3 linked regions of the Caenorhabditis elegans genome follow. The protein of the gene in region 1 interacts with the protein of each later gene in a pairwise test. Each region holds a gene or a part of one and is shown in the gene's direction. Other genes may lie near its edges.

Region 1 (4,832 bases):
TTATAAGACGGAAATAACTGTGCCTTTTTGAAATTTTTGTTCCCGTTTTCTCAGATATTTTCATAGAATTTGCTTACTTTTCAAAACATATGTAGCAACATTCATAGGATACGTACAATTTTGCAGATTAAAATTGAAATTCTGAAATTTCCAATTGCCGAAAATTTCCGGAAATTTGCCGGTTTGCCGATTTGCCGGAAATTTCAATTCAACAAAAATTCCCACAAAAAAAATTCTAGGTCATTTCCAGCCAGTGTGCAAACCACCCCTCTTGCAATAATGGAAGAGGAAAAAAATCCTAGGCCAGCACTACAACACCCACCCCTGTTCACATTAATGGCCCCCTCATAAAATAATAATATGTTTCTAATCGATTCGGGTGATCGGTTCGTAGTCGTCACCCATCCATCTCTCTTTCTCTTTCTTCTTCTTTTTCTTCTTCTCACTTCTAGTCCGCGCCGCGGCGACAAGAAGAAGAAGAAGAAACTGGCAAGAGAGAGAGAGAGCCCCACTTTACACTCTTGCTCCCTCTCCCTCTCTGTGTCCGGAGCACAAGAGCTCTCGCAGATGGGGAGCCGCAGCAGCAGCAGCGGCGACGGCGGTGGAGCAAGAACACAAAGTGCCCTCTGCCTTTTAGTCACCCTCTGTTGAGCACAACAACCACCGGGCTCCCCGTGGTCACTTTTCTGGAAATCCTCTTGAGACAGTTCTCTTGATACCATCTCCTTTCTCATTTTTCCCTCTCTTCCGGGTTTTGTTTTTACCCCACAGATTTGTTTTTTTTTGTTTTTTCTTATTGCCGAAAGTGTTCCACTTATATTCCATGCTCCTTTTTTTCTAAAAAAAATTGGTTTTGAACCAAGGAAAATTTAGATTTTTCAATCAAACTTTCAAAAAGAAAGCGGGTACAATACTCAAAGTTTAAAAGCGCATAGCCTATTTTGGGCAATGAAAAATTTTTTCCGCCTTTTTTTCTGATATAAAAAATAGATTAAATTTTTTTTTTTAAAGAAAGACATTTTGAAAGGTCGGCAAATTTTTTCTGTCAATAAATTGGGCGAATTGCCGATTTTTGGAAAATTGCCAATTTGCCGTTTACTTTTCAGATGTAGGAACATATGTAGGAACATTCACAGGAAAAATTTGCCGGTTTGCCAATTTGCCAGAAATTTCAATTCCGGCAAGTTTTTCCGATTTGTCGATTTGCCAGAAATTTTTTCCGATTTGCCAATTTGCCAGAAATTTCAATTCCGGCAATTTTTTCCAATTTTCCGATTTGCCGGAAATATTCAATTCCGACAATTTGCCAACTTGCCTGAAATTTTTAATTCCGGCAATTTTTTCCGATTTGCCGATTTGCCGGAAATTTTAAATTTCGGCAATTTTCTCCGTCTTGCCGGTTTACCGGCTGTTTTATAGTACCAAAAGTTTAAAGGCGCTTAGCCTATCCAGGGTCTTTTTTACCGGATTTCCTGATTTTTTTTAAATAAAAAAATTAATTCAAATATATTTTGGAAAATCTTGATAAAAATAGTTTGAAAAAAATTAAATTGATTTTTTTAATTTTTCGTTTTTTAAACTTCAGTTTTTGGCCAAAAAGCCTTCAAAATCATAAAGTGAATTTCGAATTTTGGGGATACAAATTCACTAATTTTTTAAAAAATATTTTGGGGCTTTGAAACAAAAATTTCAGACTTTTACCCGACTCTCATTCATTTTAATTCCTCCAATTTCTAACCGATTTCCTCCGTTTTTTTTTGATTTTTTGCTGAATTTCATACTTTTTCAATCAATTTTAATATGAAAATTCCAGGTAGGCGCGGCGGTCATCTTGCCAAGAAGATGGCGGCGTCATCGATGTCATCGTTGACGTCCTCATATCACACGACGGCAATGCCGTCCTCGAACTCTGTGGTCCCGCCGTTTGATGCTCGAAATTTGGAAATTAAGACAAAATCCATAGAGCAGACACTTATCCCGCTAGTTACTCAGGTAGGGAGTTATAAAGAATTTTTAATTTTTTTTTAATTGAAAAATGTCTTACGGGGCCTAGAAACCCCCGCAAAAAATTTTGTGAAAGTTATGACGTCACTAGTGACCTAAATTTTTTGTGACGTCACACATGACCTAAAAACTTTTACCGAACATCCTAAAAGATTCTACTTTGGCGCTGCAAAAAATGACATCACCCTTTCTTTGGGCGATTATCCATGTTCATTTCCGTCGTTTGACGGCCCATTTGGCACGATTTATTTATTTATTCGTTTATAGATCACCACACTCGTCAACTATAAAGAAAGTTACATGGCAAGTGGGAAGCCGAAATCTGAACGAGCAATGAGAGCAGCGTTGAAGGTTTGTTGGAAATTTTTTAATCTGAATCTGGAAAAAGTGAAATTTAAAAAAAAGAAGTTTTAATTGAAAATTGATCAATAAAAGTTGAGAAAACTAATTTTTCTTTTGTGTAATTTTTAGACAGAAAAATTCTGAAAATTATAAGAAGAAATTGAAGAATTTTCCCCGGAAAATGTTGAAAGATTCCTAAAAAAAATAACACAAAAATCGGAAATTCTGATCATTTCCTGGGAAAATTAAAATTTGAATTATTAACTAAACTATAGGCATTAAAAAACCTTTAAAAAATCTCTGAAATTTGTTTTAAAACAATTTCTGTGGAACATTAAAAAATCTCGAAAATTTGAAAATTGTAATTTTTTATCATAGAAACTTTTTTAAAAATATTGACCAAAATATTACGGCAAACACAAAATTTGGAGAATGCGTACTGTGCAACATATTTGACGCGCAAAATATCTCGTATCGAAAACTACAGTAATTATTTAAATGACTACTGTCGCGTTGGTGTCGATTTACGGGCTCAATTTCTAAAATAATAATAAATCAAAACTATTTATTTATCAATAGAATATATGGAATATCGCTCTCGTAATTCGGAAAGTAATTATTTTCGAAAATAGAACCCGTAAATCGACACAAGTGCTACAGTACTTATTTAAAGAACTACTGTAGTTTTCGCTACGAGATATTTTGCGCGTCAAATATGTTTCACAATACGCATTCTCAGAATTTTGTAAATGATAAGGTATCCTAATTTTATATTATAACAGTTTTCTAAACAAAATTTTTTAAATATCAATATTAGCATGGAACGGACAAACCCAGTTTGGATAGAATTTACAAATTTTTGTGGAAAATTTTAATTTTTTTAAACTTTTCCTGTTTTCAGATCGGAAGCGCCGTTGAGGCAGCAATCGAACGGTTTGTGTGTGTTGGAGAGACGATAGCCGACGAGAACGCGGATATTCAGCCGGAAATGTATGATGCGTGTACTGAAGCTCGGCTAGCTGGTAAATTTATTTTTTGATACAAAAAAGTCATTGTGAAAATCTGGGAAAACTGGTGGTTTTTGAAGAAAATTTTTAAAACTTCCAAAAAAACTGCCGATTAAAATTGAAACTCTGAAATTTCCAAAAAATTGTGCAAAACCATTTGCCGGTTTGCCGATTTGCCGGAAATTTCAATTCCGGCAATTTGCCAATTTGCCGGAAAAAAATCGTTTGCCGCCCACCCCCTTATGAGAACTACGGATTAAGATAAAATAGCTTATAGACCCCCTTCTCTCAACTGAAACAAAGAAAGGCACCTCATTTCTTCACCCCGGCGGGGTGTCATATTACATGAAACACTCAATGGGTGTGATTATTCCATCGTCATCTATGTATACACGAAGAAAAAGAGCACAAATCCATGCTCACGTATCCAATTACCAGAGCCTCTCCATTTTTTTGCAAAGTGTGTGGGACCTTGTTTAGTCCGAGAGAGCTCTTACCTTTGATCTGTGGAAAGCCAAATTTCCTGCCAGTTTCTGAGATCAAATATAAAAATCCGATATTTTTCAGGTGCTTCAATGGCCAACCTATCATGTGCATGTAACGATGATCCCAACTCGGTGGTGGATAAAGCTGTGCTCGTCCGAGCCAGCAGGCAGCTCTTGAGCAGTGTCACCAGAGTCCTGCTACTCGCGGATCGGGTGCTTGTCAAGCAGGTTTTGAGGGCCGAGGATAAGGTGAGACAGATGAAAAATGTTAATTTTTCAAAATTTCCAAAAATTATTTGAAAATTTTCTGACAAATTTCATTCTGCAAAATCGACAAAATTCCTTAAAAAATAAAGATAAAAAATCTTGAAATTAAAAAAAAAATTAAGACAAAAATCCACCAAATATTGGCAAAAAATCACTAAAGAACCACAAAAATCTACCAAAAAATAGGAAAAATTATCAATAATTGCCAAAAAATTTTTTTTTAATTTGCGGAAAAAATTGTGAAAATTCAGCGAAAATAACTAAAAATTGACGAAAATTGTATGAAAATGTACAAAATTGCTCAAAAAATTGGCCAAAATTTACCGAAAAAATGGAAAAAAAACCGAAAAAAAATTACCAAAATTTACGGAAAAAAAAACCGAAAATTGGCCAAAAAACGTCAGAAATGTACAAAAATCTACAAAAAAAGTGAAGGAAATAATTCACCAAAAATTGCCAAAAAATAGTAGGACATTTTTCAAAAATTGGCAAAAAATGCCGAAAAATTGAAAAATTAATTGTCTAGAATAGTCAAAAAGAAAGCCAAACATTGGTTAAAACGACCAAAATTTACCAAAAAAAAAAAATTTCTAACAAATGGAAAAAAAAACTTACCAAAAAATGTCGAAAAAAGTTACAAAAATTACGAAAAAAAATGACAGAAATTTACAAAAGCCTACCACCAAATTTTTCGAAGTTTTATCAAATCTTTTTTTTTTAATTACAA
Region 2 (3,493 bases), 810 kb from region 1:
ACGTACAGGCCCCCCTTCTCGGGTCGTGTTAGGGCTCCCAGCAGAGTGAGGCGCGAAATGCGGGCCTCACGCCGACCTCCGCGCACCGATGTGTGTATGCAACGAAGTGCGAAGGGTAGTTATTTGGAGCGGCCGACAAGTTCGGGGTTCCGCAGCTTGGCGTGAAACGAGTAGCTTGGTGTGTGCAGTGCACAACGTAGTTCGAAACTGTGGTTGGCGGCCGACAAGTTCGGGGTTCCGTGCCGCACTATACATTCGGATACATGCGGCGTGAGTGACGCCGACACCGTGAGGCCGGCGCGGCTACCGCTGAGGTCGGCGCGGGACTCGTTGCGGCGACCTCATGGGAGCCCTAACAGAGATGTTAAATTGTTTCAAAATAGCACCGAAACTACTTAATTATAACTTTGCGAGAGCTTACAGATCATTCAAGAATCCCGTCAATTTTTCAACATCTTAAGGAAATTGCCTAAAACACTCACCCTTGTCATATTTTCCCTTGCATCCTTGAAACGAGAACCCATCGGAAAATAGTGTAGCAATCCGGGAAGCATCTCTAGTAGCAATTTCATCTGACACTTTGCTCAAAAACTCCTTGACAGTGGTCTCGGATCCATCGGCGAGTCCATGAATAGTTCTGAAGAGAAGAAAAACGAGAAGAAAATAATTTGTCAGCCACATATTGTGAGGCGACTATCTGCGGAAAAGACGGGATGGTGGGCTCCTTTTAAGCGACAAGATGGGCGGTATGATCGTTATGAATAATCGAATTATTGGAGGGACGGGAATTGGGAATTGTTGCGGGGGACGACACGTCAGCACAGGGAATCGAAAATCAAATTTGGAAAGATGGGAAAAAAATCAAGAAATCTGCAAAATTCGTAGAAGAAAGATGAAAGTGTGGGGAGCTTTTAGATTCGGTAATGTGTATTTTCTATAGAATCCCCCAAAGTTTCGAGTTTTGACATTTTTCATAAAAATTTGATAATGCCAATCGATTTCAATTGTTAAAAAAAAGCAAAAGTTGTATTTTTCAAAAATTCAAAAGTACTGAAAAATCATATGAAGTGCTTCTTTTTTCTTTTATAATACTGTTCAGCATGATCAGAAATACCAGAAAATACTAAAAAAAAGTATGCTAGTCAATCCGGAACATATTTTAAAAAATTGCACAATTTGACCAAAAGCTGTATTTTTCAAAAATTCAAAAGTACGCCAAAATCATATGAAGTGCTTCTTTTTTCTTTTATATTACTGTTCAGCATGATCAGAAATACCAGAAAGTATCAAAAAGAGTATGCTAGCTTGACCGGAAGATTATTTTGAAAAATTGCAAAATTTAGTTAAAATCTATTTTTTCAAAAATTCAAAAGTACTGAAAAACCATATGAAGCGATTCTTTTTTCTTTCATAAAACTGAAAAATAAATGAAGTAAATAAAACGATGCAAGCGCGCTCCAATGCGAATTTGAAAAAATTATGCGGGGGCACAAATGAAATTCGGCGATTTCAAGCTCAAATATAAAATCAGGGATTTTTTTGTTGAATTTTTTTTACATCGATATTCGGAATACTCCACGTGATTTGTAAAATAAATACAACATTTCAGAATTTAAAAAAAAAGAATTGTCCACGTAACCTTGCCCCCCCCCCTCTTCCTAATTGTTCCAACAACATTTCCAAAACTCCTCAACAATCATTCATTCCCTACTTGTCGTACAATTAACATCGAAGAATAAGAGTTTTTGAAAAATGGAAGATATCTACTATTCGCCACGTTACGAAGATGATGAATACGAATATCGCCACGTCATTCTTCCGCAAGCCGTCTCGAGAAAAGTGCCAAAGGGAAGACTTCTTAGTGAGGCTGAATGGAGACGTGCTGGAGTTCAACAGGTATATTTTCAATTAAGTGATATGTTAAGATTTTAGGAAAAAAATCGATAATTAAAAAAAATAGATTTTTCCAAAAATCGATAATTCACAAAATTGATATTTTGAAAAAGCCAATATTTTAAAATATTTTTTATTAAATTAAGCAAGGCTCCCAGCCGAGTGAGGTGCGAAATGTGGGCCTTACGCCGGCCCGATAATTTAATTGCCGGTTTGCTGATTTGCCGGAAATTCTCATGTTCGGCAAATTGCCGGTTTGCCGATTTTCCAGAAATTTTCAATTCCGGCTATGTGCCGGTTTGCCGATTTGCCAGACATTTTCAATTCCGGCTATGTGCCGGTTTGCCGATTTGCCAGACATTTTCAATTCCGGCTATGTGCCGGTTTGCCGATTTGCCAGACATTTTCAATTCCGGCTATGTGCCGATTTGCCGATTTGCCAGGAACTTTCAATTCCGGCAATTTGCCGGTTAGCCGACTTGCCAGAAATTTTCAATTCCGGCAATTTGCCAGAAATTTTCAATTCCGGCAGTTTGCCGATTTGCCGATTTCCAGAAATTTTAAACTTCGGCAATTTGCCGGTTTTTTGATTTGCCAGAAATTTTCAATTCCGGCTATGTGTCGGTTTGCCGATTTGCCAGAAATTTTCAATTCCGGCAATTGGCCGGCTTACCGATTTGCCCGAAATTTTCAATTCCGGCAATTTGCCTTTAATGAAAATTTGTTTTAAATAAACATTAATATGTTGATAGAATCGATATTTCAAGAAAACCGATAGTCATAAAATCGACGAAAAAAAATCAATATTAAATTTCTGAATGTGGCCGAATTATTGATTTTTCATACTTTTCAGTCACTTGGATGGGAGCACTACATGGTTCATAACCCGGAGAAGCACATTCTCTTGTTCCGTCGGAAGCGCCATTTCACAAAAGCCGACGAGGAGCGTGCCAAAATGGAATTGTTGAGAGATATGGAAGTGTTCAATAGAGCGCAACAGCAAACGACAGCAACCGATGAGAAATTGAACGCGGTTTTCTATGAATTTGTGAATAAAGCAGTGTAGATATTTTGTAAGACTTTGGGCTTCCATGGGTGAGCGGCGGTGCGTCTCGCGCCGGCCGGCCATCGCCGCTGTTATTTGGAAGCGTCCGACACGTTCGGGGTTCCGCGCCGCACTATACATGACTGAGGCGTCTCGCTGGTCGGCGAAGGCGCCTCGCCGGCGCAGGAATGGAAGCCCTAGTAATACCGTATGTTCAATTAAAAAGCGCCGAAAATCGATATATTACAAAAGTTGCTTTTTAAAAAATCGATATTTTGGGAAATCGATATTTCGACAAAAATCAATATTAAATGAAAATCGAAGTCATAAAAATCAATATTTTGCAACAAAACCCGTATAGAATAAAAATCTCGGCCGCCATAAAAACGAAGCATAAAGATTTTTATTTCAAATTTTATGTTAACAAAAATTACAAATTTGTTTTGAACGTAGAGTACACCAGGGGCCGGCAATTCCCGTTCGGCAATTTTTTTTGTCCACAAATTCGGAAAGTCGGCAAATTGCCAGTTTGCCGATTTGCCGGAAATTGTCATT
Region 3 (3,664 bases), on another chromosome or scaffold:
AGCGTAGCTGAAAACATAACTGGTTTTTAAAGATTGGATCCAAAAATTAACTGTTACCAAAACATTTGAAAAATTTACTTACGCTGGTTCATAGTGGGCCCAATGATGACGTCCACGTTGTGCTTCTCTATAAGATCAACAGTCATTCCAGCGGCTTCAGATTCTACGCAATCGTCAAATTCAATAGTAAAACTGAAATTATTTTCAAAATTTACAAGATGATATGAACTATTAAAACTCTTCAATCCGGCCTGTCTATTTTTTTTTACAAAACAGTATGGCATTAGAAATAATCTACTTACTTGAATTCCCAACCACTCATTAGATTCTCCCTTTTCAATCTATCAACTGCAATTGAAGCTGCTGCTGCAGATGTACGATATCCAACAGTGATAGGTGCACTTTGAAAGTCTCTACAGTGAATAAATCCCACTCGAATCACATTTCCAGTGGTACCTGTTGCAACTTGGGGAAACATAGGTTTAGGTAACAACTGAAAAAAAATCATTTTTATTTTGTGGAATTCGCTTTCAAAACCTACCGTAATCACTAAAAACAAAACTAGAGACATTGAATAGAAGGGCTTCATGATTATTTTCTTATGCTAAACTGGCAGACAGCAGATCTTTTTATATCTGCACAAGGGGCGGTGGGATTTATAGAAACTTAAGTTTACTACGCCTGCCGCCTAATCCGTGAAACCTTATTTTTATATTTTTCCGCCTCCCGAAACAGTTGATACGTGAAAAAGCACGGAAGAGAAAAAAGCTTCTTTTGGACTTGATTAATCTGTTGGTCATGAGAAAGCGTGACACAAGGTAGGTTACGGTAGCAATTGCGTAATTAATCGGATCAGTCTATGCGCATTTCTGAAACATTGGGGATTTCAAATCTAGTTTATCAAACAGATACAAATCACATTGACATCTCGTGGAAACAGTCTGTAAAGTACCGCAAATTTTACAATTTTTGATATTATTGTCGTTAAACAAGTTCCATTTCAAATTTTTTATTGAATACGGTAAAAAAACAAGAGAGGCAGCTGGTTGAAGTGAGTCACTCTTGTTGAGTTTTCGTTACTGGAAACCTGAATGAAGATAGTTTTTAACTTTAGCATTACGCCTCATTATTTTCCTATTTCCTTTTTACTATTTTACTTGTATTTTTAAACTTTGTTTAGCACATTGAGCACATAAAACCAAATGTTATAAATATCCTTATCATCAACCCATCGGTTTCTTTTTAACTTTTTTCTTTCTCGAATTTCAATGACCCGGAAAACCACCACATCATATGAAAATCGAATCTAAAAATTTGCAGATACGCATCTGTCCTGCTGCGCTCTTTTTTTATTTTTGAATGTTTTTTTTTCTGCAAACGTTGGGAACAGTCATCCAATCCTTCAACCGTTCGTCTCGTTTTGAATGACAAACGTTCTCTTTCCGTCCTCTGTTTGAGTATATTTACATTGCTAATTCAAAAAAAAATAGTATAGAATATAATGATACTTAGAGATAGTTCTGGCATAAAGTTTAAACTTGAATGAAATCATCAATGCCATTAATAACTGTGTCACTGCATTAGTTTATCAGCAAGTGTGCCAGCAAAAAAAACGTTTCGAGACGATTCGATACATTCCTGAAAAACTTCGATAAAAGGGAAGTATCCAAACAACCACACCCAACTTTCATCATTGACTCGCTGTTTTGCTTTTTATTTTTGTTAATCTTCCTTACAATTAGTTTTAAAGTTTAAAACAAATATTACATGTTAGAAAGAACTGTATTTTGGTCAGTTTGTTCGAATAATTTCGAAATCTAAAACCTTTTCTTTTTGATGATTCGTCGGAGTAGATGTTTCTCGAAGGAGGTAAAAAAAACCGTGGGCGATTCTTGTTTGCATTGAGGATAATAGAGCAGTAGTAGAAAAGCAGGGAGTGTCAACTCAGTTTTGTCTTCTTCTTCCCCTATTTCTGTCTTACTTTCGTTTTGTTTCTTTGAAATAATTAGATTTTCAGAAACTATTATAAAATGGATCGTCGTTTTCCACCATTCTCCCCATTCTTTAACCATGGCCGGTAAGTTTCTAAATTCTCGTGTTTTCGGAAACTTCTATAGTTGAAGTAACATAACTTTCTGTAAATTTTCTTCTTTAATAAGTGACGTCACTCAAATTGTACTCTGCGCCGCTAGTTCTTAAAATACACAAGAATTTAATTTGGCGCGATTTCTAAAAATAAGCTAGCGAGAGGACTTTGTACTCCAGTTTAGCAAATAATGCTCTGAAAAATCATAAAGACTGGAGATTTTGACATATTTTTCTGCAATTAGAAAATTAGAAAATTAACTTTAAAAATTTTACAAAACTCCTACAAACAAGTTTTCTAGCAGATTCTTCGATGACGTCGACTTTGATCGCCACATGATCCGACCATACTGGGCCGATCAAACAATGCTCACTGGACACCGAGTAGGAGATGCTATTGATGTTGTGAACAACGATCAAGAATACAATGTATCTGTAGATGTTTCACAGTTTGAACCAGAAGAGTTGAAAGTGAACATTGTTGATAATCAGCTAATCATCGAAGGAAAGCATAACGAGAAGACTGATAAATATGGACAGGTGAGGGTTTCCCTCCTTCTTGAAAAACTCAAGTTTTGTATGAAGCTAGTGCAACTTGAAAATGTTTTCATGCATCCTTAGATTAGCTCTCAAGATCCTGAAACCTTACTCGGAAAAGGGCAAAAAGTTATCCAAAATAAAGGCCAAGAGTTCTAGATTATCCTTCCGCCTGTTACGCAATACAAGGAAGCCAAGCAACTCATTTCCGAGCTTATAACGAAGTTGTACTAAAGTCTAAAACCTCGTTGTGCATACTTTCAGGTAGAGCGTCACTTTGTCCGGAAGTATAACCTTCCAACAGGGGTCCGTCCAGAACAAATCAAGTCCGAATTGAGCAACAATGGAGTGCTCACTGTCAAATATGAGAAGAATCAGGAACAGCAGCCAAAATCCATTCCAATCACAATTGTGCCAAAGAGAAACTGATTTCAGTTACCTAAGTGTCTGTATTTTAACTATTTCAAAAATATTTATTCAATTCCATTATTGAAGTGACAATATAAACATTTTGTTTAGACTCCAACAATCTTTTGAACCGTAATGAATAGAGCATATGGGAACATGGATGGCCTCTTCACTTTCACATAAACTGAGCAGAAGTTGAAATCATCATAATAATCATAATCGATTCGAACTCCTTGTGAGTTTAAATCAACTTGCATTGAAGCGATTGAAGTATCGTTTGGTGATCCAATCGTTGAGAAAACCTTGAATTTAATCATGAAATCTTTTCAAATAGTGACGAAATTATACCTGTTGTGCTAGAGCAAGTGGAAGACTTCCATTGATAACTGCAGATGATACAATGACGTTTTCGAGTGTTTTATCTTGACAATGAGATTGACACCATTGAACTTGGGATACATCTTTTCCGCAATTGGAAAGTGAAGCGTCTGGAAATTTCTTAAAATCGATAGGAAATCTTTTAAAATTAGTTTAGAATACTGATGCAACACATTAAACATGATAAGATTCATTCTTTCCTGTTAGCAGATTAATTTATAATTGATGAGCTTTCTCTATCAATGACGTTTTTTTT

The links.
Region 2: the proteins of ctn-1 (region 1) and Y71G12B.27 interact in a two-hybrid assay, tested with the Caenorhabditis elegans proteins (one large-scale study listed by BioGRID).
Region 3: the proteins of ctn-1 (region 1) and hsp-17 interact in a two-hybrid assay, tested with the Caenorhabditis elegans proteins (one large-scale study listed by BioGRID).

The regions. Positions count from the first base shown.
Region 1 is NC_003279.8:2,604,941-2,609,772, forward strand, and holds the start of ctn-1 (Alpha-catulin), read left to right. Parts: upstream 1-1,800; coding exon 1,801-1,992; intron 1,993-2,271; coding exon 2,272-2,355; intron 2,356-3,247; coding exon 3,248-3,368; intron 3,369-3,920; coding exon 3,921-4,087; intron 4,088-4,832. UniProt on the Caenorhabditis elegans protein: Required for slo-1 potassium ion channel clustering at presynaptic terminals and in egg-laying muscles; clustering of slo-1 mediates the intoxicating and sedatory effects of ethanol on worms.
Region 2 is NC_003279.8:1,796,905-1,800,397, reverse strand, and holds Y71G12B.27 (Cyclin-dependent kinases regulatory subunit), read left to right. Parts: upstream 1-1,675; 5' UTR 1,676-1,752; coding exon 1,753-1,896; intron 1,897-2,746; coding exon 2,747-2,959; 3' UTR 2,960-2,963; downstream 2,964-3,493. Other genes in the region: Y71G12B.5 (Apolipophorin), read right to left, coding at 483-681.
Region 3 is NC_003283.11:8,384,281-8,387,944, reverse strand, and holds hsp-17 (SHSP domain-containing protein), read left to right. Parts: upstream 1-2,017; 5' UTR 2,018-2,030; coding exon 2,031-2,077; intron 2,078-2,387; coding exon 2,388-2,625; intron 2,626-2,886; coding exon 2,887-3,051; 3' UTR 3,052-3,137; downstream 3,138-3,664. Other genes in the region: gcy-7 (Guanylate cyclase), read right to left, coding at 1-7, 83-192, 303-493, 542-589; F52E1.14 (ZP domain-containing protein), read right to left, coding at 3,138-3,332, 3,379-3,518.